Arabidopsis thaliana: one gene and its partners. Each later gene encodes a partner of the first gene's protein in a complex. Each region holds a gene or a part of one and is shown on either strand. Other genes may lie near its edges. The genes, in order: U2B'', U1-70K, RSZ22a and SR45.

Region 1 (4,830 bases):
TTTATTACGTGTGAGGAGCTGAGAAGCAGAGGAGAATCAAGGTAATCGGAGAAAGTGAAGTTATGAGAAGATTGTGAAATCGGAAGAGGTGGTGGTTGAGCCGTCTTGAACTTAGGTAAACCAGACCCGGTTCTCTCTGGATAGTACCCACCAAAACTCGACCCAGAAACTCTCAAGTCTTCATCATCTTCGTAACAGTCAACGCCGGAAGAACCAAGAAGGTCGGTGAAAGAAGTGGAAGACATGATGGTCTTTAATAAAGGAGACAACTTTAAGATTTCTAAAACAGAGGATTCGCTAAAAAAGGAAACTTTTTTATGAAATTGATCTTGAAATGAAAAAGAGGATAAAACTAAAAAAGAACAGAGGCTTTTAGATTGGGTTAAAGACGACGACGGTGGCGTATTGAGCAAGGTTTTTTTTGTTTCTCTCTCTTCTTGTCTTTTTCTACTTTGGCCTAAATATCATTTTTGATTTTAATATTTCTATAAAATGGTTGACCAGTAAGATATTCTTTTTTGATGAGTCGTCTCCTAATTTGTGATAAATCGTCAAGTGTGAAACCGCGTTTCAAGGGTCTCTTTCAATGATTAAACCAAAACCGGATTAATCCGTTAACCAATAGAACCGTTGGTTGGTTATACACACCAGGTTTGGTTGGTCCAGTACTATCGTCTTAAAGGACAACAAACAAACAAAAACAAGACTCTTATCATTTCTTGGCGAAAGAGATGACCATTGGATTCTGGGGAGTGATTTTGAAACCTTGAAGAGGTTGCATAGCTATGGAAGCTTGAACATCATCTTCGTACTCTACAAACGCGATTCCTGGTTTTGCGTCGATCATTCTTATCTCTTTGAATCCAGGGTACTGTTCGAAGAGAAGCTGTAGCATCATGCTTGTTGTCTCGTGTGGGAGATTCTGAATGAAGAGTATGTTGTTTGGTGGCATTGTTTCTTGCCCGCTCGGCTGGAACGAAGGCTGCATTAAGAAGAGCAGAGATAAAACGCAAAACATCAGCATCATCTCCAGATAACAATAGTTTGGTTCACATGATCCAACAATGGAAGATTTTTCTGAAGATGAAGGTGAGAACAAGAACACTTACCGCAGGGACTCCGTTATTGGCACTTGGACCATTAGCACTTGGGCCATTAGCCGTGTTTGGTCGTTGGGAATCTTCACGCTTTCTTTCAACTGAAAGTAAGAAAGGAAGTTTGTTAACTTTAGATGCAAGTGAAAATTTTATAGTTGTATCATTGAACCAACATCTACGACAAAATGCAAAAAGAAGAAATAAAGTTTAAAACCTTTTTCTTCTTGCTTCCTCTTCTTATCTTTTGGAACGAAAGTTCCCTCAGCTTTAGCTAGACAATCTGACTTTGCTTTTGCATATTGTAAGCGCTGCACTTAAAAGATCACATAAAAAGTATGAATAATAATAAATCTCAACCTGATTGGAAGTAGTTGAATAGTTTACAAACAATCGAAAGAGGTAAGATTTAGTTATAAAAACAATGTATATATCAAACAGAACAAACATTTTGACAACAGAAATCATAAGAGAATGTGATTTGAGAAGGTCAGCAACAAAATCCAAACACACATATAACTAAATGTTGATTGAGAATAACACAGTCAAAGGTAATCATTGGTAATCACATAAACACACTAAGGATTTCTGCTTTTACCGCATCAATCAATCTATACAACACACAGAATATCACTTCCAGGGAAATTATACAGAGATTGATATACTCAAGACAGAAAAGGTAGTGGATACTAATCATTGGTTACTCATCAACAGCAACAAAATCTAAACACATATATGACTACCAATGGATTGGGAATAGAAAAAGGTCAAAGGTTCCAAAACAAATTGTTAGTAATCAATTACACAAACACACTAACGATTTGCTTCTATCGATCTATACAACACATAGAAGATCACTTTCATGGAAACTATAAAGAGATTGATATACTCAAGAGTGATGAAATACTGACCATTGGTTTATCATAGAAGGGAAAATTTTGCATCTGACGAACAGCATGACCAGCAGCAGTGACTTCACTAAAAGTAACCCAAGCTTGTCCTCGGAGCTTCGGAGTCTTCAAAGCAACCACATCAAGTATCCTCCCAAACTGAGAGAACAAACAGTAAAGAGATCTCTTCAATTCTGAGAAAACAAAAACCAAGTCAGATAAAGCATGAGATTGATGATACTGCCCTGAGCCAACACTACTTCACACGTCTATAACAATTATCCATACAATGGCGAAAACAGACAACACCAACATATATATCTTCCTTATAACCTTGTCACTAGATTCAATACGATTCTGAAACCCTAGTATTTAGAAACGAACACTCTATATAAGCTAAAAACAAGCAAAAACCCTAACATTCAGTACTGTAGAAGCTTGAATCATTGGTACAGGAAGTTCATGGAGGTTTCAACATCTAAGAATTTGGAAATTTACTTGACGAATTAGATTAAACGAGAAGAGAAGTTTACCCTCTTTCTTGATCCTTTCGTTGAGGTTTTGGATGTAGATTGATTGATTCGGTGGTATATCTGCCGTTAACATCTTCGAGTGAGCTCGTGAAGACGATGAAGATTCTCGAGACTGAGGAATTTAGAGAGAGCCCTAATGGTGGGAACTGGGAATGAGAGAGACGAAGAAGAGTAAAAGAAATAGCTGCGTTTCAACATCAGACTATTTAACGACGCCGTTTAGTTTGTTGGTTCGATTTCCTAAACTTTTGTACCAACGTGAATGAGCCGACCGGATGGACCGGATTTGAATTTGACCGGCTAGACAGAATTGAACCGGAAATAGAATGAGTGGTCGGGATTGGACTTTTATAGACTCGAGATCAATTTTTTTATTGCAAAATTCCAACAAAAGTCTTGTGAATCATTTTGATTCAAATGTTCAACAACTTTTTAAAATAATGTAAATGATGTTGTATTTTTCCAGCTGAGCTTGCAAATTTGTTCTGAAAAAAGATTTAACCTTAGACCTTAGTATATCTCAATATTCATGTGATAGATAATACAATTCACGTGTGAGCCGATTGAATCAAAAGGCATTAAAAATGCAATGTACTAAAATGCCTTTTTGTTTCTGTGTTACATTTTTCTTTACACTGAGAAAATAAATCGAGGATGTTTCACTTTCATCCTTGAAGAAATATGGCAACCATTGCGACTACTAGTGAATGATCGATGGATCCAGGAAATATCGTTAACCGGAACTTGCTTCTCCCTACGTAAATCTGTCTCAGCTTGTACATCAAACTCGTCTGCCACCACATTTAAAGGAACATAAATCAGATTGAGGCAAATGTTCAAACACAACAACAACAACAAAAATCTTTAAAACAAGTGTATTAGAATCCAAGCAAATTTTACAAGCCTAATGAATCCGACTTCAAATGAACGAAACAAAGGGTTGGTTGTTTATCCATCAGCAAGCATGATCCAAACGATGAGTTTTGAACCCGGTAATCAAAACCAGTATAACACGGTATTGACTCTTGTCTAGCTATAGAATGTTCAATAGTGCTGTAATTGGGAGAAGATGAGTATCTTTACCTGTGCAACAATGGAATCTTGACTATAAATGGTACAAGATTTCTGAAAGGGAACACCTTTGATAACAAGATTTTCGGACGATTCTCCAGCAAAAGAGACCTCTGACTCTGTCTTACTGAATCTTTTCGATGTCCGCTTCACCGTTAGAACCAAATCCTTACGCTTTTCCACATCTCCTTTATGTAATTCCCACACTCCATTCTACATTCCAATACATATACAAAGATCTGTAAGTGTTCTTATGATATATCTCAAGCCAGTGACTAACTAACAAAACCCAAACAATCAAAAAGTATAAACATCGTGTGGACTATGTAATGAATAATGAGATTTAAACAAGTAGCGATGAGAATTGCCAAAATCGATGAAATTTGGGACGAAGGAGGCTTACGTGGAGACGAGAGATGGAGAAGAGAGGAACTCCGGAGGAATCAAGGAGAGATTTCAAGGAGGAAGAAGATTTGCGGAGGATGAAGACGAGATGTTCGGAAGAATCGGCAAATCCGAGATCGCCGGAGGAAAGTCCGGGAAGCTTTTTGGAAGCGAAGAGATCGACTGGTATACGCCGGAGATCCTCAGGGTCGGGGTGATACGGAGTCTCGGAATCAGCCATTTACATAGTCTCTAATAACAGTCAGAAGCGTAAGGTAGAAGAAGAACAAGAGAAGCAGCTTATATTCAACGCCAATGTTTTTTTTTGTTCTAATGATGTCGGATCAGATTTTTTTTTTTGCGGCGAAACATTCTTCTTACACCAAAAAATAATTCAGATGAATAAAATTAAGCAAGTAAATAATTGGATGTAGAAGCCAAAGATAATAAAATAGTAATGATAATTTTCTTTTACGTTCTTGAGATACCAATTCTTGTTTTTTTTTTCACACAAAACTGAAATGCAAAAAAAAAAACTAAAAAGTAATAACACATTTTTTTGATGTTTGATCTTGATTAATAAATTAATAGAAAATGGTAAATGTGTTACTTACATTAGGTTGGAAAAACGTATGGTTTAACATATGTGTTTGTTGGAAAAGATACATTTTTAGTGAACATACCTTTGACATGAATTGATTTATAAAGGTTTTTTTTTTTGCATTTCCATCCCTCTCAAATGTTTGTTTTAAAAAAACTAAGAATTATGTATAATCTTTCAAAATGTATTGATTTTATTTTTTTTTTATGTTTTCTGTAGAATATATATATGATGATCTACTCTGTTCAAAACATCAC
Region 2 (8,384 bases), on another chromosome or scaffold:
TTTCCATAGTTTTTTTTTTTTTATGTGCACCGTTTCCATAGTTTTCTTCAAATTAGTTTTCTCTAATGTTTTTTTTTTGTCAATTACTAGCATATAATTCGATATATAATTATCTTTTTTGTTGTTGTATGTCTGTTTCATTTGATTCTCTAAACTCGGAAAAAGACAAAGAAAGTGACCAACCAAGTTATAGACCGACTTGATTTAAATGGCGCGATCTAGTGGCGCACGTAGCTAGTATATTAATCTTGGATTCAATTATTTTTGTCGACGATCCATAAATTTGATATGACTTAACAAAAGTCAAATTTTGTTGACTGAACTAAAAGGTTTAGTCGGATCGAGAGAGATAGAGATGGCTAGAAACAAATGGGATCATCACTATCTCTATCAAATCAATGTGACAAAAATCTCAATCATACATATACTTGTTAGGTACGTTTCTTTATTTTAATTCTTGTCTTTGTTCTCTCTAGAGATTAGATCGATTCCAATCACTTTGGCTTTTCTTCGTATCTCTCGAGTTCTCGACCGACAAATATACCTTTAAATTAATGCAACATTTTATTTTTACGATCTCTGTCATATCAGATTCTTCCCTTTTCTCTCCTTCGTGCACACGAATGGATAGTATGTATAAACCAGTTCTCTACCTATCAAAGACAAATTTTGTTTTGGTAAAGCGTAGTTCGTCCAAATATGATATTTTCTTTCGTATTTCAGGATAACAAAACAAGTGGACAATCGACTTACTCAACATGGAATTATTTTACTCTAGTTTAGTTTCTTTTTAACATATTTTTTGTTTGTTTGTTTGGTGTAAAAAAAGAGTAAATCGGAGTAATGAATTTTTGTTTAATATGGTTCAGCCATATTAGAAATTTAAACCAATCACACCCATAATTAAATGATCGAAATAGCAAATGTTATAAGAAAATCGAATAATATAACTAAATAAAAATCTTAACACTAAAATAATGACTTGACCGTCAAAAAATGATAACTGCAATTAGTAGTTTGATAAATTTTATTAGTGATCACCATATTAGATCACATTCAAAATTAAAAAAAAAAATATGTGACGTAAGTTGTAAAATACAAACCAAAAGATACTCTTTGAACATAAATGGGAATCGTGTATATTAGATAACATTAGAAAAAACAGTGAACTCAAAAACTATTCATGTACTCTATGGTAAGTAGCTTCAGTCTATTACCACTCATACTTCTTATGGATGAAATTACTTCATGATCACTTACACATAAATACGATAATGGCAAGTTTAAATCTGATTACAAAAATAGAAATTTAGGTGAAGATATGAAGAAGGGTGCATGGGGGTTCCCCCACATCCACCTGCAAAAGTTATGATTGCATTTCAATCATTGCCCACGAGCGCAACCAACACGTCGCTCTCTTTCCCTTCAATTTCATTTTTTTATTTCATCTCTATCGGTTTTACTTTGCTCGATATATAAGTTTATATGTATTACAAATTTCTCATGCTTTGAATCATATCGTCCCACTACTTTTTGGAATTAGTCATTGCTCACAATGTTTGACTCTTTTCCTTCTATTCTTTTTGTCTTTACCTTCTCCGTTTCAGAAAGGGTTTTGCTAGTTATGCTAAATGAATGATTAAATCGAAATGATACGGCTAGATTTTTTCTTTTCTACTTCGAAATTTTTCTTGTAGGCTTTTTAAAAATGGAAAATTGTATAATTTCTGAAAATTGTATTGAGCTAACAATTTTTATGGAATGATTTGCGATAAAGCACATCACAATGCAGAGTTTATTTTGCGTATAATATATAATTTTACACTAGTTGTTTGCATGAAAGTATATATTTTCTTGAGATTTTCTTTTCCCGCAGTAACCATTTACTCGCTCTTTATAGACAAAACATAATTATGTAATTAGCAAAACAAAACATAATTATGTGGAGAAAAAACCTAAGAAATGGAAAGAGGAGGCTAAACTTAAGATAAAGCCCCATGAAGCAAATGATTTTGAAGTAAAAGAAACAAAAGTTATGTGTATGTTTGGTTAATGGCAAACATTAGTAAGACAAATTCTAGATTGTTTATAAAGAAACAATTTAAAATCATGGCTTGCATTTGACTGTAGTAAAAAAAGACTTTACAAACTACAATATACATAAATAAACGACAAGCATTATTATAATCAAAAGAAGAAAAAAAAGTTGAGAAAGAAGAGAAGAGAAGAGTGTTGAGTTGTTGCTTGTTGGATCCTCTTTAAGTTTTCGCATGGGGTTAACATTATAGCAAATTCTCCTTTTACTTTCGGCTCTGGTCCCTTTCCAGATTTCATTTTTGTTATTATCATAATTAGTGTTTTTATCCACCGATCTTATTCTTATATTTTATTTGTCATTGTTTTTTATAAGCATTTCTGAGATATAAAGCCAGTTGGGCTGAGATGTGTTAGCGATTGTTACGTACTGCTCATGAATGTGGATGGGTCATTAAACCAAAAAAAATAAAAAAATGTTGATGGGTCGTCACTCAAATATTCAAATTCATCTTATGTGTTGTTACTTGCTATTTTCTTTCATCATAAGCAAATTTTTGTTTGAACGTTGCCTAATATTGCTTACAAAGAAAATGAAAGATGTGTAAACATTCATATGTATATTATATTATATGTCTACACATTAATGACGTTTTAAAAGAAAATCCACATGTTAATACATAAATTATTCGGTCTCTAGATGTATGAAAATGGCATTGACACTCCCAAAAGAAAAGAGAAACATTCAAAGCGCTAACATTGAGTAACTACGTCAATCAGAACGATCATTAACCAAACAAAAGTGTAAAGATCTAAGAAATCATATGGCTTGCTTTTTATATTTAGAAATAATTGCAAATCTATTTTACAATTCCATCACGAATACGACCCCTGAGCATGTGTCCCAACCTAAGTAACAAGAGTCGTGTTGTATTTGTATATAATAATAATTCTAAAAATAGATACAGATATGTGTATATAAAATACTCAAACGTACGAAGTGTTTGACCTTGGATTTTAGTAATGTTTTCTAGCAAATGTGAAACCAAAATATTCAACAATAATGTCATAATGAAAACCATTAACAAATTCCATTGTCGTCCAGCGGTTAGGATATCTGGCTTTCACCCAGGAGACCCGGGTTCGATTCCCGGCAATGGAGCCTTTTTTTTCCTCAAATTATCTCAAAAATTCACGACTATCAATATATCCTCTCTCTAAACATATCAATCTATTATATGCTAAATAAAATAACATTTCAATCATGTTTTCACCAATAAGTTTAATAATTGACCGTTTCTAGGCACATAAATCATCACATGTATAGTAGTACTGCATAAGAAATAATCAATAAAACATCACAACTTTAAAGTTGGTTTGATTTTGATTAATAATATGACAAACTTCAAAAGAGAAAAAATAGCAATCAAGTTCAGAGGTAACAAACAGAATTGCATCAAGTTTTGATTTAGAATAAACAAAAAGGATTCTTAAGTTTTTAGAGTTTTAAACAGCCGAATGAAACATCAACGAACATACTCTCGCGATTCTGATCTCTTAGACCGCTTGTACTCACGTTCATATCTGAAGTCATCTTCCTCCATTTTATCGTAGCGATGACTGTACCGGTCTGTGTCCCCTTGATCGTCTTCATAGTAGCCACGAGTTTCTTCTGGCTCGCCACGGTACTCTGCATCTCTCTCACGGGACCGACCACCACCCTCATGCTCATATTCACCTCCTTCATAATCCCGCTCCTTCTTTCTACTGCGGTCTCGGTCATGATCCCTTGAAGTACGATCCCGTCCCCTGTCACGGTCACGGCGGTCTCTGTCTCCTCTGTCACGGGTCCGGTCACGATCACGTCTGCTGTCCCTATCCCTGTCTCTGCCTCCTTGGTCTCGGTCTCTGTGGTGCTTATCCTCTCTCGGTCTGTCACGAGACCTCTCTCGAGGTTGTTCGTGAGACAGCTCACGAGACCTTTCCCTTTCTTTTCCCTTTTCCCGAGATTTCTCACTGGAGACAAGGTAACAACATTATCAGCACAATATTAGTCACAAGGCAAAAGAGTTTGGTACGAATGAAAATATCTTTACCGCTCTTCCCGTGGTCTCGATGGCTCCTCTGACTGGGAGGTTCTTCCTTGCGGTTGTTGTTCCCCAACAATTTCTTCACCACCACCCACTCTTGAGGTCCCAAGTCCACCACCAAGCCTGCGTGGACGCCAGTTTGGGACGGTTCTACCTCTCTCCACATCAACCAAAACTCTTCTGCCGTCAATCTTTTGTCCATCAGCTTGCTTATATGCAGCTGTAGGAAGAGTAGCAAAACACAATGCAACATCAGTATAAAGAGCAAACATCTCAGGGAGATAAAAGAGGGTTGAAAGAAAAGAGATGTGAGGGCACCTTTCATGTCACGGGTGTGCATGTACTCAATGAAAGCATATCCTTTGGGTTTATTGGTCAGCTGATCAGTCACCAAATGAACCTGAGAAGTTTCAGAAGAAGACAATTAACAAATCAAATCTGTGAGAACAAAATCAGATTCAAGATAAAAGTGTTTCATATCAAACAAACATGCAGCTCTATAAGGCAGGCAACCTTTATGTTGTGTCCAAATCCGAGAATGTCACCACCCACATCAAGAATTGGCAGAAAAATGGATGTATTGCAGCAAAATTACCATTTTTGAAGAGTCTAATAAACCACCCCTTACCAGGGTATAGAAACTTAGATAACTAAAAATGTATTAAAAAGTGAACCAGATCACCTTCATAGTAGCCCAAGTCCCAGATACTGAATATATATAGATGTTAAGATAGGAAAAGAGAGAAGGGTTTTCGATAATCCAACCTTGGTTGCTTGAAAATAAAGCATTTGAATGGCTTTGGGATATGGGCAGATAATATTTTATAAGTTGCTTACCAGCAGGATGAGTTGAGCTCATTATAGATTCAGAAAACAACTAATTGATTAGGTAAACCGTGTGCCTATAACCACTATATGATATATCATTGTAAAAGTATTTGCTCTCTGAAGGGACAAGGAAATAAAAATACCAGGCCAAATTTACCGAAAACATCTCAAACAAACACCATGGAGAGAGGAGCTGTGTCATTATATGAGAAGCACTTATGCATCTATATATTCAGTTATTGAGAAAGGTCTAAGAGACTTGATGGCTTTACACAGTCTAAAGAAGGCATGCAAAACAAAGCAAATGTAGAATGGCCTTTTGGTCTAGCAGAAAAGATGCAAATTTATAAGGGACTGAAAAATTCTAACCTTGGAAGACTTTTGTAGATAAAATAAAACAAATTGAGCAAAGAGCTCTAGAGAGGGAAGCCATTACACAAATTCTTACCGAACCAGCAAGGGAATGCTCAGAATAACCTACCCGTTTAATTGGTCCATAAGATTCAAACTCCCTTTTAATCTTACTCTCTGAGGATTCGTAGTTCTGCAAGACAAGAACAGACCAAAGTTAAGCACAACATAACTCAGATGTCTAACAAAAGTCATTCAACAGTAAGAAAAAAAGAAACACAGCTTACAAGTCTTGAAACGAACAATGTCTTGTATGGATCTCCAGTAGCATTTGGATCATTATTGGGGTCATCTGCATATAAAAAAAAAACAAATTAACTAAGAATTCTCAAACCTAAGAGGGCATTAAAAGGAACACAAATAACATATAGTAGATTACATTTCTTTAAGTCCTCAGCAGCCTTTTCAACACCTTTCTCCAGTCGCAATTTATGAATTCTTTCCCTTTTCTGCGACTGGACAATGAAACAAAACAAAGCTATAAGCCACTGATTTAGGGTTAAAATATGGCAATAATCGAAAGAGTTAAAGGTGCATCATCATACAGGTAATTCAACTTCTGGCTTAGGTGGAGCGTATTCTGGATCCCCAGGCTCAGCAAAGTTACTTACAAACTGAGCCATACCTATATTCAATACACAAGACAAAATCAAATCCAAAGCAAAGAAAACATAATCAGATATACAAGTTGATACCTGTATAAGGCGGGCACTTTCTCTTCTCTGGTGGTGGTTTGTACTCCAATGGCGGACGTGGCTCAAAAAGCTTCAAGAGATTGTTTGTTAAGCCAGTAGGGTGGCTCTGACCCATCTGCATATCAGATAGATCCATTATATCAGCTTTAAAGCAACAAGATATCAATCAAACTGATTCAAAACTATAAAACAAGCTCAAGAATCAAGACCAATATAATCAAATCATATGACCTAAAATCGGAATCTCAATTCAATTTAGAACTAGCTGATGAGTGTTACAACGCAATCGAAAATAGAACCGAAGCAAGTATCAAACGACTTAAGAGTATTCCAATTCATTAGCTAGAAACCTAATAGACAACGAAACTAAAATCTAGAGAGTAATCACGAATTCAGCGAATTTAGAGAGAAGAGACGAACCAGCTTAAGCTGAAGAACATTGGCTCTGTTCTGAACTTTAGCGCGAGCTTGAACAGCGGCGTTTGGATTACGCAAGAAAGGATCGCCGGAGTCTCCCATGGCGACAAAAGGGATCTCGGAGCTGTGCTAGGGTTTTTCGTGAGGAAGCGGATGGAGGATTTTTGCAGAGAGAAGAAGCAAAACTAACAAAACCCAAATTCAATCTCTAACCGGATTCTGATTATTAAGAAAACCGAGTTGAGATCCAACAGATCACGATACGTAAAACGATGCCGTGCTCGTATATCTCGGTCACACTTTAACCCACTCGCTGAACAAGAGGGTTATCAGCTTCAATTACCTTTTTTTTTGGATTTTACAATTTTTTGTTAACATGTCAAATTATTGGTTTTGTAGGCATTCGTTGATCTTTGGCTCCCATATTTTTCTAAAATCCATTAACAAAAAACATAATTAAAATAGATTCCAATTTTATTTATTTTTACAATAACAGGCTCTAAATTTTTAAATATTTTAAAGTAACCATAATAAGAAAAATTAAGCATTTCCAAATGACCATCACTGATTCACTTCCATAGGATGTGGCTCTCCATCCAATGATTTTGTTAAGTATGATGGAACCGAGGTTGGAGATCTATTGAACTTGACGGGCACACCTTTTACCATTGGTCTCGTGCGCTAACAGCGTAATTGTTGTTGGTTGCAACATCAAAGCCTTTTGAGAAAAAATGAGCCAAGAATAGTTGGTTGCGTCTCCATTTGTGCACTACAGCACCAGAAGCGAGAATGGATAAAAAAAGGTTGCAATGGCTATAGATGCTGCAGAAAGAAAGAACCTTATGTGATCGGGCATGTAACTGGTCTCTTAGTATACAAGGGGATAGTAGAAACACAACAATAGGCGAGGGTGCAAAGTGGCAATTTTAACAGACGAGTTTGACATATACCCTTCCTCAAAAATTAGTGATACTCGATGGATTTATGCGATGAAACGTACGATAGTCCACCTACAATGGTCAATTCAAACTGTGAATCTCTCATCTGTCGGGTGCTCACATCACCGTTGCAAGTGCCATATATAACCTGACGGATTATGAGTACGAGATTGGATATTCAGTTTGTGCATGTTCCAGTGGTTACAATGTAACCCATAAGATCTTTTAGGTGGATGCAAAGTGAGAAACTGACTCGTTCTGTTTTCTTGTATTGTGGAAAATGCTTGCTTATTATAATTATGTGGTTTTTCATCTACAGATATGGACGAGTGTAGAATACTCAACAATAATGGACGTCACAAATATTGTTGCGAAGGTAGCATGTGTGTTAACACTCGGGGAGGGTACCATTGCGTGTTCCACAAGAAGAAGACGTTGCCAATTATCATAGATTCATAGGTATGCAATTTTATCATTCAGATTTATGTATTCATATAATGGGACTGATGACTCCCCTTGGTAACTGCGTTTGGCCATCGTAGTAGAAATTGTTGGAGCCTTGTCGCACCTGAACTTAGGCGCCTTATTGGGGATATATGTTATCCGATTAGGATTAGTACAATATCTTTGATGATAGAGTTTCTAACCTATATTTTAGGGATTTATGTTTATCTCTTGATAGAGATCATTGTATATAAATACCATAGTTTGTGAATCAATAAAATCAAGTCAGTTCAATACCTTATTCTACATGGTATCAGAGCAGTCGATCTTTGTGGATCATAATTAAAGCTTCCGCATTATAGATTTTGTAATCAAGAAAAGATTATGAAGATGGTGATCACTGAAGGAGAAGACGGTGCCTCCGACGGTGGAAATGAAAACGACGAAGATGTCGGCATGTTAAGGGATGGAGGTTACGTGATTGTTTCTTAATCACATGGGTATTATTTTTCCAAAACTTTAAGTCG
Region 3 (6,791 bases), 2.5 Mb from region 1:
TGACCATACCGCATTTTCCCGGAACTCGATGGTTATTTCCGGTTATTATCTCTGTAGCTGGTGGATCATTGACGGTACTCTTTTCCTATCTAGGAGTTGAGACCATCAGTCACTGGTTTAAGAAGATGAATCGTGTAGGGAGAGGACTACCTATTTATTTTATCAAAAATAACCGTGTAGAAGATATACCTGCCATTGCAAAAAATGAAGGTGAAATGCCTTCCTTAGCAAGGACCAACTCAGACTTGGCCGCCTCAGAAGGGTCAGGCTATTTCACCTATTGAATCTTTAAGGTAAATTTTCTACGAGACTACTCTCTCTGGTGCTCGAGCTTTTACCGTGGTGTTTGCAGCCTATCTTATGGGTTTTGAGTGTCTAAAGTGATTTTCTTGATGAGCTTCTTCTCCTCACAGGGACCGGCACAAGATTTACTTGAAGCAGATTTATATTGCCATTGTATGATGCATCCCTACTTAAGGAGTTTCGTGTAAACTGGTCTCACCTATGTTATCTCTATCATTTAAAGTCCAAAAAGAATGAAAAATGTTGTCAATGATGTTTTACATGTTTTATATCAATACTCAGTACATGTTTCATCAAAAATAACAACTTCAAATCTAGTCACTTGAATAAGTACGAACACAAAATTGCTCGATTCTAGTTGTTAGGAGATATCGTCGTCATCATGTTTAGTTGATTATGATGATAAGTAAAACATATGACAACAAAGTTTTGCTAAATATAAAAAGTGAACAAACTCATGAAGTTGGATATCTGTAAATTATTTTTCATAAAAAATAAGTATTTTCAGGACACAACAAAACAGGACAAAGATAAGAAACTTATGAAAATCTACTCCTTTTACTAGGGTTTTAAACCAAAGCATCATCAGAAGAGGAGGCAGCCAAAAAGCCTTCAATAAAGACAGAATGATCCTTGAATCAAACATGATGAAATTGAAACCAATGAGCAGAAAAATCTCTCGTTTAAAGATTAGTCCATGTACCAAACGTGATGAAACCAAAGGAATGACTATTGCAGATGGCGATAAGTGTTTATCCAAGTGCCCACCTCAAACAAAGCAGAGACGTTCTACATACTCTAAACTATTCTACACCGTAAGACAAGTTTCTTCGAAGCCTGCCTGAAAGGTATTAAATACCTGCCAGAGTAGCAAGTGCAACTCCTCGGCCATTTTAAGTTCAAGAAAAGCAAGACCAGCAATCATCAGAGCCGATGAAGTTTTCAAACATAAGAGCATCTAGATGAGAAGCAGAGTAGATGTGAACTAACATAAAGATCCCAAAGCAGGCCGATCAAAATAACCAAGAAGCCAGAAGCAGTTAAGCAATGAAGCAGAAGTAGTGGTAAACAATTATGAAGATCCCAAAGTAGGCAGATCAAAATAACGAAGAAGCGAGAAGCAGATAAGCAATGAAGCAGAAGTTGTGGTAAACTACTATGAAGATCCCATAGCAGGCCGACCAAATTAACCAAGAAGCCAAAAGCAGATAAGCAATGAAGCAGTAGAAACCTGAAGAAACCTCGAGATGATAGAACAAAAAACAAAGAAAATGCATAGGTTTTTAGCAGAGCTTTTGTTTATGTCTTTTAAGAACATGGGTAGATATTTAAAAGTACTTTACCTAACGGCAGATACAACTATGGCTTCATAATCCAAACGCAATAAGAAGCTTTCCAGCAATTCAAAAGTAGCAAGCATATCCAATCCACCACACAGCTAAAACATATTCTCTTAGTGAAATTCACAGATACTAATTTCCTCTCCTCTTGACGTCACAAGCAAATAGTTGTCTCCTGATCCCATAATTTGCTATCTAGACAAGTAACACTCAGCTCCGGCTTCTGCGCACATCTTTCAGACCATTTCTGCATAAACAAATACAAAAACTTATCAGCCACATGGACTCTGTTTTTTAACACAACGTCTAACAAAAAAGTCTTTGGGACGATAATGCCACTAGTTCAGTTTCAATTTCTTATATTGATTGAGATACAGTAGACTCAAGAGCAAGGGGAGTTTTACCCATTAGCATATGGCACCTCGTCACGTGCTCTATAAGGTGGTGGTGACCTACTGTAGTTGCGACCACGAGGAGAAGGACTACGACGTCTTGGAGGAGGAGGAGATCTAGCACGAGGGCTGTAACTTCTGTGAAACCAAAAGACAAGGTAATAAATCAATGAGGTAGACCAATTTCTTTTAGTTGCAAATCGTCAATCAGAAAGAATAGGGACAATAACCTTCGTCCTCCATAGGTAGGACTCTTTCTGTATCTAGGAGGACTGCGACTACGGCTGCGGCTACGACGCCTACCACCAGAACCACCACGAGAACGACATTCACGTGCAAAGTGACCAGACTCACCACACTCATAGCACTTCAAATCAGAACCACCACGTCCACGACCACCATCACCTCCTCCACGACCACCACCACGACCTCCACCACCACCACGGTTATGAGACTGCTCTACCCTCCATCCATTCTTGCCTACCATAACAATATAGATCATATATATATCAAACTCATAACAACTCATAACAACTCATAAAACCAGACCAGTAGAATAGAAGACCAACGAATACCATCTACTTCACGGATGGCGTCACGGGCATCTCTTGAATCTTCAAAATCAAGAAAAGCGTAACCAGGAGGTCTTCTAGCAACCCAGACACTGCACAGACACCAAAAGAACAATGAGGATAAATGCAAATTCACACACTTTACATCAACTAAAAACCAAAAAGGAGTCAATTTATGTACCTCCTGATCACACCAAAGGAACGAAACTCATCCTCGAGTTCACGTTCAGTAACTCGCGGATCCAAATTACCAACATACACACGCGACATCCTCAAGTTACCTATCAACAAAAGGCTTCAATTCAAAAACTTTGAAAGCGATGAATTCAAAAAGATGAAATCTATAGATCGAAACTACGAATGAATCTGGAGTAAAGAAGTGACAACGGAGATCGGGATTTACCTGAAGAAACGGCTTTGGCTCTTTCTCTTGCTCGTCTGTGAGAAATTAGGGTTATCGATTCGAAATTGAAGATGAAAGTTATTTTTTGTGGGTCAACTTTAAATGTCCTTCAAAAGTTATTCCTTGATTTGGGCTTAAAATGGGCCGCATGCGATATGGTACAGTAACAATAATGCCTCATATTCATGCAATTACTGATTATAAAATTAAAATGTCAGATGTTAAATAATAATAATTCAAAATTAAAAAAAAGCTCTCAGCATATAAAAGGAATTCAAAAAAAAAATGAGTATCACTCTTAAGTATTTATACGATTTTCAAAAAAAGTTGATAAAACTTACCGAAAATACAAAAAAAAAAGAAATTGAAATCTACATAAATCCCCAAAAACTACAACACAACACAAGGAGAAAACACTAAGAAAACACAAGCGAAAACTTCACAAGTAGAGATCCTGAGAAAAACACTGTTTCTAAACCCCAAATTGAAATCTCGTCGTAAATTCAAATTTTAATTAAAAAATATAAAGAAAGCTCTTTTCTATGTCCACTGAATATTTTATGTAAATGAAGAAAGCTCTTTTTATGCTCATACTTTTATGTATATACTAACCCATACATCTCAGATGATGAGGATGAGAGAGGAAAATAAAACTTAAGAGGGAGACTATTTGACCCAAAAAAAAAAAAAAAAAAAAAGAGAGAGACTATTACCTCTAGTTTTTGAACTAAGTGAAGAAAACTATTTCGTTCAAATTTTTATTTATAATAATAATTCACTCATTAAGCATCACAAATTAGACAATAGATGCATCAGCCTATTTGTAGGCCTAACCAATCCTCTACTTTATTCATCGGAATCGATCACTAGATATATAGTCGATAGGCAAACAAAGATATAACCATAAAAACCAATTTTGACACTATTATTTATTTGCGTAATGCTAGTAGGTGTGTACAAATGAACATAATTATGACCATGACAACGGCATGGTAACCACTCATGCCTCGAAGTTCACCTTCTGCTACCAACATATTTCCATCACATCATCCTAGCATTATTAAAGAGGCTAAGATACAACCTTTTAGCTCTTCTAATGCTAATAATCCTAGCATCATCCTAGCATTATTAACTGAGTGCATCTTTAGCTCTTCTAATGCTTTTTCTAGAGAAGAAATGGTTTGAATCACCCTTATTTTACTAATAACATATTTGGGTTTAAGATGAGTTTCTAACTTAAAACCAATTGGCAATGAAACTAATCATTTATAAGTATATTACTTGATAATTTTTCTAATTTTCGAGTGTAACTTTCTCTCATTAACAACTAACCATTCGATTATTTTAAGAACTTTGGTTTTGATACGGTTCAGTTTGGTCAGTTATTAAAATTATTGGGTTTTTTTGCCCATGCCTATATCTCCCAAAATCACAATATTCAAATAAAAACTTTTACCACTTGAACCATGGTTCTAGTTTAGAATGGTTTGTTTGGAAAAGACAATAGAGGCTAAATCGTAATTTTGTGCTTTATCACTTATGAGTTTCACTTTTAAATCAGTCACTTAACAAAAACCGGACGTGACAATATATTATGTCCAGATATTAATTTGGGATTAGCCTATAACATCCAATCATTCCCAAGAGCAATGATATAATTTTGTAGTTTTTTATTTACTATTTAGTGCGCACCTTTCTTGAACCAAGACTCCATTCAGTGACAGGATTAGATAAGTATGTGTGTATTATTGAAATGTCGTCGAGAGTCCACTTGAAGTTTGAACTATGACGACAAGAATTATTCCTTTTCTCTTCTTTCTATTCAGATGGAGAGAAGCTCACCTCAAGATTTTTAAAACGGCACTCAATTACGACTTATTTTGAGAAATAATTAATAAAATTTATAAATTATTACGTGCTCTATTTTATAATTTTTCTCTTTTTTATAGGTTTTAAGACATGAAACACTGCTTCTATGTTTTTTTTTTGGTAATCAACACTGCTTCTATGTTTGGTGAAGACATCTTGCAAATGACATTACATAAATCATAGAAATTAGTTTCGATGTTATTCTAATTAAATCCTAAAATATGGACAAAAAAGAGTGATTCTATTGTTCAAAAAGAAAAAGAAGAGTGATTCTAAAATTATAAGCTAAATATCGATTTTAGAATGTACAAGTTGTTCCTACAAATTGCTAAATATTCTTTTAAGAGTGTCCCATTCATATAAAATGTAAGATTTTTGTTAATAAACTAATAACCAGTGGATAAGGGATTTTGTCTTTTCGAACAAAAACGAATGGTGAGCACTAAGAAAAGAGCGAAGTGACTCTATATTCATTCCACCATATTCCCCAAGAATACAATTGGTCAAGAACTTCACAATCACAAATTCACGATCGCTATGTCATCCTTTTAATATTGCTATCATCCCTCTAATTTACTTTCCATTTTTTAAGATCATGAAATTTGAAATGTCACATATACATCCGTTGTAACTTTTTTCTAGTCAGAAAAAAAAACGACTCGTGTTTACCAATTTGGAACAGAATCACACATTTAGAAGGTAAATTTTGGATCGAAAAAACTTTGCATTTTGTTGAAACTCCCATGCAACTTCACAGTTCCAACAAATATCTTTAGAGATTAATATATAGCATTAGAAAACCAACTAAATTTTGCGAAATTACACATCTAAAATTCGCTTGAGAGACTATTTACTTACCAAAAATCATAGAGATTAACGATATTATTTGTGTATTCACATTATAGGAGATTGAGAGATAATGTTATTAACGTTATTAAACTATTAAATTAACAAAAACGTTTTTGTTCAGCGAACGGGAAGGAAGAGGGAAATAGTTTACGTTACCACTAGTTTATGTTGAAACAGTTTTGGCCGAAAAATAGGCCATCATTACCACTATAGGCCATTCCGAAATAGTTTACGTTGTGAAAGTAATATCGTGCCTTATTTAGTACAAAGTTGCCCACTAAACTTACGAAATCGAATATTCCATAGTTACAAAGGTTAAAAAACATATAAAATCATTTACAACCAAGTCCCAAAGTTTTTGTGCTAGAGAAATATTTATTATTTAGGCTTATTTGGTGGTAGATAACCAAAATTAGGTTTATTTGGTAGATAGCCAGAATTTTGAGGTTTACTTGCAAAATATGATAAATTATAAATAATGAGATGTTAATTTCGCGGATTTTTCTTACAAATAACTTAATAATATAAATATTTTTATTTATTTAAGTGTTAAATAATACAATAATTTTTGTTTTGTTTTTCCGCCTAGTAAATAACGACGTACGTTAAAATATTTAAGAGTTCAGTAAGAAAGGGGAAGAAAGCGTGACACAATGTTGTGAATCTCGTGATTATATAAGTGGAGTTTTGTCCATTTGTCAAACACTATCTATATATGTTTTGATAATTTCATAGTCGCTTTTAAAGAGCATCAACAACAACCACACGCTTCTCAAACATCAAACCAAGCCTCTCTTTCACTTCCTCATGGAATATTCCGACGACGGCAGATTCGACGTGATTGTCGTTGGAGCAGGAGTTATGGGAAGCTCCGCCGCGTATCAGCTGGCAAAAAGAGGCCAGAAGACTCTTTTGTTAGAGCAATTCGATTTCCTCCATCACCGTGGCTCTTCTCACGGCGAGTCACGCACCATACGTGCCACTTACCCGGAGGATTACTACTACTCCATGGTTTCCGAGTCGACTCGGTTATGGGCTGCGGCTCAGTCCGAGATTGGATACA
Region 4 (8,191 bases), on another chromosome or scaffold:
TTGGGATTGTGTGGTCACCTCACCGGTAGCAGAAGAGAGTTGTAAAATTAACCACAACGTTGTCTTCTTTCTTAACACTTGCATAGTCTCTTTCCGTGTAAACAAAAACGAAAGTGGTTATTTCAAAATTATTGGTTCCAAGTTAGAAATTTGACTACATATTTATATATATTTTTAATAATTACTAATCATCAATTTACAATTAGAAAACGGAGATTATCCTCAACACTCTCTTCCAAAGATTCAATACATACAGGATCAGAGAATGGTGTGTGTATTTATTAGATTATAAAAACAGAGTTGTTGCTCTGTTGTGCAGGAAATGACAGGAGTGTTCATGAAGAACTGTTTTCTAAACTATGTTACCTACAGAAACATCTTCCCCATATGGGCACTTGCAGAGTGGTATGTATATTTATTTTCTTTGAGTGGTATGTACTGTGTGAAGTTGAGGAAAACTCTATTTTTCGTTTTAAATAAAAGTTTGTGCACTCTCATTAAGATGCATGGTTTGATGCAAAATTGTTGTTGTGCATCTTAGGAGCCCTTAAATTATAATTATTTATTTCTCTGAATGAAACAAAAAACCAATTTCTTGTGTATTTGGATCACCAGTCTTTGTATGGATTTCTTTCTCTTTTAACTAAAATAATAAGAAAAGGGTGAAGGAGCCAGCCATTCTTCAACAAGACTGAATATATTAGGGAATTACAACCAGCTAAAAGAACCAAGTCATTATCGTTGCATCTAATGAGGAGATCCACAAAAGAAGATTAAACATCCAAACACTACAAAAACCACAACTCTCATTTGGTCACTGGTAAACATTTTATCTGTTCTAAGAAAAGAGGCTGAGACAGATGATAACGATAAAGATGGAGAAAGAGAGCTACATCAAGACTCAAGTTTTTTTTTTTTTTTTTTTAATTTTTATCACCTTTAAGTTTTACGAGGTGGAGGTGGTGGTGGCGGTGAACTGCTGCTGCTGCTGTTACTGCTGCTTCTTTTTCCTCTCAGTGGCCTAAACATACCCAACAACAACCCATTTTCTTTTATTAGACTTCAACGCAAAAAATTTCTACACAACAATTCTATTTTTCTCTGTTTCATCACCAAACTCACCAAGAAAGTATAGGTCCCAGATGTTTATGCTATGTCTTTTATCAGGAATTGGGGTAACCCTTAACTTTACTATACATAACTTAACATTGGAACTTCTTCAATTAATGCATTCTACAGACTATAAAGTGTTTCCAGTTTAAGACGAGGATTAGTGTTAAGACAGAAAGTGTTTACCTCTTAGGACTGCGGCTCCTTGAAATCTTCCTAGGAATCTGTAAGGTTTAATAATGCACAAATGATAGAAAGTCAAGAGTCAAGACATATAACTCGCAAGGCATCAAAAATTTTATAGCTAAAAAGGGATCTGCAAGAAGCCCTTACCCTTCTGGGACTTGGTGAACTAGAGTAAGAAGATGACCTCCCACGTCTCCCAGCTGGACCTCGTCCCCTGCTTACAGTTAAAGACAAAATTAATTCATGAACAAACCCCAGACGGATCTATATAACTTAGTCATATTGGGTATCAACGTCTCTAGGAGCTGGTATGTCAGAAACCTAGGTAAAAGGATAAGACAATGTAGGATCTTGGGGTATACTCATGAATTATGAAAGACTTAAAAACTTGTTATGAATCAGTCTTAGCTATGCATCTGTAACAAAATAAAACCCACGAGAGAGACCCCAGAAAAAAGTTTAAATGAGTTCCAACATACTTGCGGGGTGAGATGGAACTTGAACGAGAGCGACCAGGCCTACGAATTGGGGATCGGCTACGCCTACGGATTGGAGATCTTCTGGGAGGACTGCGTAGTCTCCTTGGAGGTGGAGACCTGAAACACGCCGAATACAAAACATATATAAAACTGACACATTTTTCCCGGTCTAATTTACTGAGTAATATAGTCTATAAAGCTGTGATTCCTAAACTTCGATTACTAAGGGTGTAATTCAGGTACCAAATAGACATACCTTCGTCTTAGAGGAAGAGGAGACCTTCTTCGAACAGGACTGCCACGAATTCTTCTAGGGGAGCCCCTGCTGACAGATAAAAGGTGAGCTATCGAATCTGAAACACACCAGACAAAACAGATGGTGCCATAACTAACCTTGGAGGAGATCTATATCGTCTTGGAGGGGGAGAAGATGGAGAACGGCCTCTAGATGGTGATGCTGGCCTACGTCTAGGAGGTGTATCACCGCGACGGCGGATAGGAGAGCCCGGCCTCCGGCGATGGGGAGAATCAGGTGATCGCCTTCTAGGTGATAAGCCTCTCCTAGGTAGAGGTGATCGCCTTCTCGGAGAAAGCCCTGTTTTCCGTTGAGGAGATGCTAAGCACATATTGATGATACTAATTAACACAACATAAAGCATATACTACAACAATTATAAATAACCAAAATATAAGGATTTGACATACTCTCTCTTGGGCGCCTGGGACCACCATCTTTCTCAGCGTCAGCAGCAGCATTATCAGATTTTGGAGCATCTCTTTTTGGTGCAGCTGAGACAGGTTTAGGGGGTGAAGATACTTTCTGACGAGGTGGTAGTGTGAACGTTGCTTTAACAACCTTTCCATCAATTTGGGCCTGTGTTCAGTGAACAAAAAAAAAACATGCATAAATCTTCTCTGTCAATATGTCAAGTACAGTGCATTTCATAATTGGAAAGAGACATACACCATCCATGTAGAGCTGAGCTTTCTCAGCATCAGCTCTTGCCTTGAACTCAACATAACCATGTCCTCTTGGAAGATTAACCTGTTAATAATATTCAAAGGAATTATGAGCAGATTTCAACAAGTGATGCAAGTAAACAACAGAGAGTAAAGAGAATAGCAACTTACAGCTCGATCCATCGCAATTTCGACATGTATAACTTCACCAAAGTTGCCTAATAATAACATGAAACCAAGCCATGTTATAAGACTTAACATTTAGCCAACACAAGGAAAACAAAAGACCAGTGATGATCGTAATGCCGTATACACTACTGATGACATTAGCGGACATGTGTAGACAGTTATCATGTAGTAAGATTAGAAGAAGCAGAAGAAACAGAGAAAAGAGAAATCAACATACCAAAGATTTCTTTGAGATGGGCTTCATTCACATTCCTGCTAAGAGAATCAACATGGAGAACAAGAGATTCTTGAACAGCTTTCCTGAAAGCATAAAAGATTGTAAAGTCAGTAATGACGAAAGCATAAACACTAGAATATATTTATGTGAACGAGTCAGATATTACTTGGAAGGTGAAGATGCTCCTTTAGATGGTGGAGGAGGAGGAGAGCGACCTCGCCTAGCAGGTCCAGCAGGACTACACAAGAAGATACATCAGAACATCAATTCGAATTCGAGCTGAACGAACCAAGAAGAATGAAAGCGAAATTACACAAATCCAATTCGAACAATTGGTAAGTGATTGAAAGAAACCCTAACCTTTTTCCACGACGTGGAGGACTGCGACTCCCAGAACTGACGCTTCGCGAAGGAGATGAAGATGAAGAGAGCGATCTAGAACGGGAGCGTGAGCGGGAAATAGACCTGGAGGGGCTCGAACCCGAACGAGATCTGGAACTGGAACGAGATGACGAGCCAGACACGGAGGGGGAACGACGGCCACGACTTGGTTTCGCCATGGGCGAGAGATATCGAGAAAATCGCGAGAAACCTTGCTTCAAAACCCTAGCGGATAAAAAAGATTAGAGGAGAGAGACAGACAGACAGACTGTGACTTTTTTTTTCCAGTCTCCTTTTTTTTTCCGCGGACTGCAAATTAAACCGAAGATGATACGTGGCAGGTTTTTATTTGCTTGATAAATTGAGGGATTTATATGTTTTTTAAAGCATTTTATAAAGTATAAATACCATAATGAGCTCAATTTGTGTCCTTTCCCATTTTTCATATCAGATTTGAATGTGTCACTAATCAAAAGTTCTTCAAATCCTACAGGAAAATTCAAACAGAAAAGCTAGTAACTCCCATAAAAAATTCAACAACTTATAAAATGTTGTAATCGATTGTCTGTGGTCGTGTACACCATCCAATTAGGATCAATTAGATACCATTTTTCTATAGCTCTCTTGTTGTCCCATAATTTGTTGATATTGTTGTTGCCTTGGTACAAACTTAAGAGCAATCTCAAAATCAAAGTATCTTAGATTGAATCTAGTCATTGAATAACACCGAAACCATTAAGGTTTATTCATACATCTATATAGAAGTGTCAAATGGTCATCTGACCATGGGCTAAGCCCAGTCCACAACATTATGGACAGTCCATGGTCGGCCCGTAATGAAAACGGGCTATATGGTCTAAAGACCAATTTTGTCCATGGGTTTAATGGGCTAGCCCACACGGTTTATGGTTGGCCCATCAATTTTTTCAACACATAAATTTTTTTCTCTTCTCTCTCTTTCGGCAACGACGCTCTCTCTCCCGGCGACAAAGCTCTCTCTCGGCGACGACCAAGCTCGACCTCTCTCTCAACTCCTACTCCGGTTAGTTCTACTAGCTTGTGGGTTTGTCCAAAGTTCAATTGTGAATTTTGGATATGAGGAGAGCTAGCTAGCAAATGGGCACTTTTCAGATTTTGTTTATGTTTCGCCATTTCGAATTTCATTATGAATTGAAGCACATCAATATGTAGAGACCCTTTGTGTTGTAAGTTCATGCTTAATTATTCCAGAAGGCTAGTGATTTAGTCAAGTTCATGCTTTATTTGTTTATCACTGCTAAACGTGTGTATGTCTTTATTTGTTTCAGAAATATGGAATTGGATACTCAAAACTTGGTTGATGAAGACAACTTTAATCTTGAGGATCAAGAAATGGACCATGAAGATCCAGAAATGGATCAGATACTACCTCATGAAACTGCTTCTTCAGGGACAGCTGAGAGAGGTAAAAGTAGTGTAAGTAGATTTCGTGCTGCATGCTGGAAAAACTTCGATAGAGGACAGAAATATCCTAATGGGAAAACTGAGGTTACATGCAAATATTGTGAGCAGACTTATCACTTGAATCTGAGACGAAATGGTACTAATACCATGAATCGTCATATGAGATCTTGTGAGAAGACTCCTGGAAGTACACCTAGAATTAGCAGAAAGGTGGATATGATGGTCTTTAGAGAAATGATTGCAGTGGCTTTAGTTCAACATAATCTTCCATATTCGTTTGTCGAATATGAAAGAATTAGAGAAGCCTTTACATATGCTAACCCTTATATAGAATTTTGGAGCAGAAATACTGCAGCTTCTGATGTCTACAAGATTTATGAAAGAGAGAAAATTAAGCTTAAGGAAAAGTTAGCTATAATCCCGGGTAGAATATGCTTAACAACAGATTTGTGGAGAGCTTTAACTGTTGAAAGTTATATTTGCTTAACAGCTCATTATGTAGATGTTGATGGTGTTCTGAAAACGAAGATCTTATCTTTCTGTGCTTTCCCGCCTCCACATTCTGGAGTAGCTATAGCAATGAAGCTTAGTGAGCTGTTGAAAGATTGGGGAATTGAGAAGAAAGTTTTTACTTTAACTGTAGATAATGCTTCTGCAAATGATACTATGCAAAGCATTTTAAAGCATAATGCTTCTGAAAATGCATTCTTATACTTAGTGAGAATTTTGTTTTGTTGGTCATATTTCAGGGGTTTTACTCTTACTTTTCTGAAAGAAATGGAACTGGAAAATCACCATTAGATATGTACTTGGAAGAGCCTGTGTTAGATATGGTCTCTTTTAGAGATATGGATGTTATTGCATATTGGAAAAACAATGTCTCGCGTTTTAAAGAATTGTCATCGATGGCATGTGATATCTTAAGCATTCCGATCACTACCGTGGCATCGGAATCAGCTTTTAGTATAGGTAGTCGTGTGCTTAACAAATATAGAAGCTGCCTTTTACCTACTAATGTGCAAGCCCTCCTATGTACTAGAAACTGGTTTCGTGGATTTCAAGAAGTTGGTAATATTCACATCTTGAACTCGTTTATAATAGTAAACTTATATGGCTTTTGGACTGCAGCTTTTAGATTAATAGCTCGGTTTTTCTTATTGAAGAAACTGATGAGATCCAAGGTCAAGAGGACACAAACACCACCCTTGCATGAACGTTTCAAGACTGGGAAGAAACAAGTACATGGTTGTTCTCTTAAGCTCTGAGCCTATGGTTATGTGTTTATTATTCTCAGTACATGGCTGATTTGATGATGTATGTCTTTGACAGATTGTTATAGGTTGTGATGGTATCCGGTCTAAGGTTGCAACTTGGATGACAGATTTTGGTTTGGAATTGATTCTGGATTTTGTCTCTTACTTATAATCATTTGTGATTGATTACATTGTGGAAATGTTGTTTAAGCTTATTGTTTTACCTAAGCTTATTGAAGATGGCCACTTCTGGTTTCCAATTTCTAGATGTTGGAGTAGTATTGAAATGGGTTTCTCTGTTAAATCATTCTCCATGTAGCCATTGTAGGCTTTTTTCTTTACTTGTAGGTGCATATAGAGAGTCTTAGATGCGTGTTTGAGTTGTCACGGTTGATTACAAGACTGGGAAGAACAGGTACATGCATGTTTGATTTCATGTTGATGTTATGGTTTTATAAATAGAGCTTTTGACGAGATTGTGTGAAAATGCATTGTATATAAACATCATTGTATGGGCTGGCCATGGGCTGACCATTGGACAATGGTCTTTAATGGTCTTGGACAAATTTTTAGACCATTGTCCATTAAAGACCAACCAATAAAACCCATGAAAAAAATGGTCCAAGTGGACATGACCAATGGGCTTTGGACAGCCCAATTGACACTTCTACATCTATATAAACTAATCTGATTTATCATCATAAAACACTTCCAACGCCATTTGGTCCTATTCTTGCAAAACCTTTTACAATCATGAATCATGGTGTTTGAAAATTGTCCATCGTTTTTGCAAGATACAAAGAAGAGGATTCAGATAACATGAACAATATTATTAAAACTAGGCCACAAGGTTGGGGTACAATGTCTTAAACAAATAGTAAAGCCAGAAACTTTAAAGAAGAGAATCAAACCTACTAATTAAGAAAGCAACATACTAATTAAGCTTCAGTGAGATGGAAAAGCCTTCCTACAAATCAGTAGATCATAAAGTCAAAAGCTAATTCTAACTCATTGTCCAGAATGTTGATGGTTCCTGATCCTGCTTGAACGTCTCACAGGTGTTATCATCTCTTTCTCTTCGTGACCACTTCTCTTTTGTATCTTCTCATATGTTGTGAAACTTCCATATGAAACAGAACCTATGGAGTACTCTGATGCAGAGGAAGCCATGGATTCACCGCTATCATTACTCTTCTTGCCTCCTCCTCCGCTTTGATGTTCTTTAAGATCATCTTTCTTGTTGCTGCAGCTGTGTAATGGTTTGTTCTTACTGAAGCTGAAACTCATCTCAGAAGGGAATGATGATACCTCTCTTTTTCTGTCATCACCAACTTCTTCTTCTTCTTCCTTGAAATTCAATGAAGAAAGCCTTTCTCTGATCAGATTCTCTACTGGCACATGCTCGACAACTTTAGTTGCAGAGATTGCTGTTGGTTCGCCATCTTCATGTTGCAGCATCACAGGTTTTGTCTTCTTCTTGGCTAATAGGAAACCAGCTGCTACTGCTGCAAGTATAACCATCATAGTCGAAAACAAGACTAACACTTTCTTCTGGCCACTCAACAAAATGTCCTCCGAACCTGCATCATTAACAACTTCACCAAACCCACTCTCTTCTTCTTCTACTTCATTACCGTCATGTTCAACATCTGTAGCTTCTTCTGAAACACTGAGGCTACCTCCAGCAATTTCCCCAACACCTTCTTCTTCTTGTACAGTTTCAACATTGGCTACTCCGGTTTGTTCTTGCTGGTTACTACTGATTGCAGCAGACTGCACATCGTCAAGCAGTTGTGCGTCGGATTCAGCTTCTTCCATGTTATTCTGGTCATTTTCTTCATATTCTTCCTGCCCTTCAACAACATCAGTTTCTTGGCCACCATGTCCTTCTTCAGAAAGAGATTCTGAATACCTTTCACCTCCGTTCACCTCTGTATCTGTAGCTATCTTGATCTCAGCCTGCTCATCACATT

What was found.
Region 2: U2B'' (region 1) and U1-70K share a complex: the UniProt entries of both Arabidopsis thaliana proteins name them as parts of the spliceosome.
Region 3: U2B'' (region 1) and RSZ22a share a complex: the UniProt entries of both Arabidopsis thaliana proteins name them as parts of the spliceosome.
Region 4: U2B'' (region 1) and SR45 share a complex: the UniProt entries of both Arabidopsis thaliana proteins name them as parts of the spliceosome.

Annotation. Positions count from the first base shown.
Region 1 is NC_003071.7:12,904,845-12,909,674, forward strand, and holds U2B'' (U2 small nuclear ribonucleoprotein B), read right to left. Parts: upstream 2,822-4,830; 5' UTR 2,591-2,821; coding exon 2,518-2,590; intron 2,179-2,517; coding exon 2,006-2,178; intron 1,406-2,005; coding exon 1,312-1,405; intron 1,199-1,311; coding exon 1,110-1,198; coding exon of another isoform or gene 1,050-1,109; exon of another isoform or gene 983-1,049; coding exon 713-982; 3' UTR 501-712; downstream 1-500. Other genes in the region: WRKY25 (WRKY DNA-binding protein 25), read right to left, coding at 9-245; AT2G30270 (LURP-one-like protein (DUF567)), read right to left, coding at 3,183-3,308, 3,601-3,801, 3,992-4,213. UniProt on the Arabidopsis thaliana protein: Involved in nuclear pre-mRNA splicing.
Region 2 is NC_003074.8:18,822,916-18,831,299, forward strand, and holds U1-70K (U1 small nuclear ribonucleoprotein-70K), read right to left. Parts: upstream 6,770-8,384; 5' UTR 6,578-6,769; coding exon 6,479-6,577; intron 6,174-6,478; coding exon 6,059-6,173; intron 5,989-6,058; coding exon 5,909-5,988; intron 5,819-5,908; coding exon 5,743-5,818; intron 5,656-5,742; coding exon 5,591-5,655; intron 5,497-5,590; coding exon 5,434-5,496; coding exon of another isoform or gene 5,317-5,433; exon of another isoform or gene 4,525-5,316; coding exon 4,443-4,524; intron 4,345-4,442; coding exon 4,131-4,344; intron 4,051-4,130; coding exon 3,561-4,050; 3' UTR 3,245-3,560; downstream 1-3,244. UniProt on the Arabidopsis thaliana protein: Mediates the splicing of pre-mRNA by binding to the loop I region of U1-snRNA.
Region 3 is NC_003071.7:10,445,923-10,452,713, reverse strand, and holds RSZ22a (RNA recognition motif and CCHC-type zinc finger domains containing protein), read right to left. Parts: upstream 3,084-6,791; 5' UTR 3,011-3,083; intron 2,889-3,010; 5' UTR 2,878-2,888; coding exon 2,789-2,877; intron 2,700-2,788; coding exon 2,611-2,699; intron 2,516-2,610; coding exon 2,266-2,515; intron 2,174-2,265; coding exon 2,048-2,173; intron 1,891-2,047; coding exon 1,854-1,890; 3' UTR 1,530-1,853; downstream 1-1,529. Other genes in the region: AT2G24600 (Ankyrin repeat family protein), read left to right, coding at 1-284; AT2G24580 (FAD-dependent oxidoreductase family protein), read left to right, coding at 6,536-6,791. UniProt on the Arabidopsis thaliana protein: Probably involved in intron recognition and spliceosome assembly.
Region 4 is NC_003070.9:5,674,986-5,683,176, forward strand, and holds SR45 (arginine/serine-rich 45), read right to left. Parts: upstream 3,868-8,191; 5' UTR 3,702-3,867; coding exon 3,502-3,701; intron 3,380-3,501; coding exon 3,308-3,379; intron 3,225-3,307; coding exon 3,142-3,224; intron 2,954-3,141; coding exon 2,907-2,953; intron 2,821-2,906; coding exon 2,740-2,820; intron 2,650-2,739; coding exon 2,481-2,649; intron 2,392-2,480; coding exon 2,169-2,391; intron 2,098-2,168; coding exon 2,032-2,097; intron 1,893-2,031; coding exon 1,743-1,892; intron 1,511-1,742; coding exon 1,444-1,510; intron 1,335-1,443; coding exon 1,297-1,334; coding exon of another isoform or gene 1,293-1,296; exon of another isoform or gene 1,202-1,292; coding exon of another isoform or gene 1,192-1,201; exon of another isoform or gene 1,022-1,191; coding exon 940-1,021; 3' UTR 863-939; downstream 1-862. Other genes in the region: AT1G16630 (uncharacterized protein), read right to left, coding at 7,227-8,191. UniProt on the Arabidopsis thaliana protein: Involved in 5' and 3' splicing site selection of introns, and may bridge the 5' and 3' components of the spliceosome. Isoform 1 is required during flower petal development and isoform 2 is involved in root growth.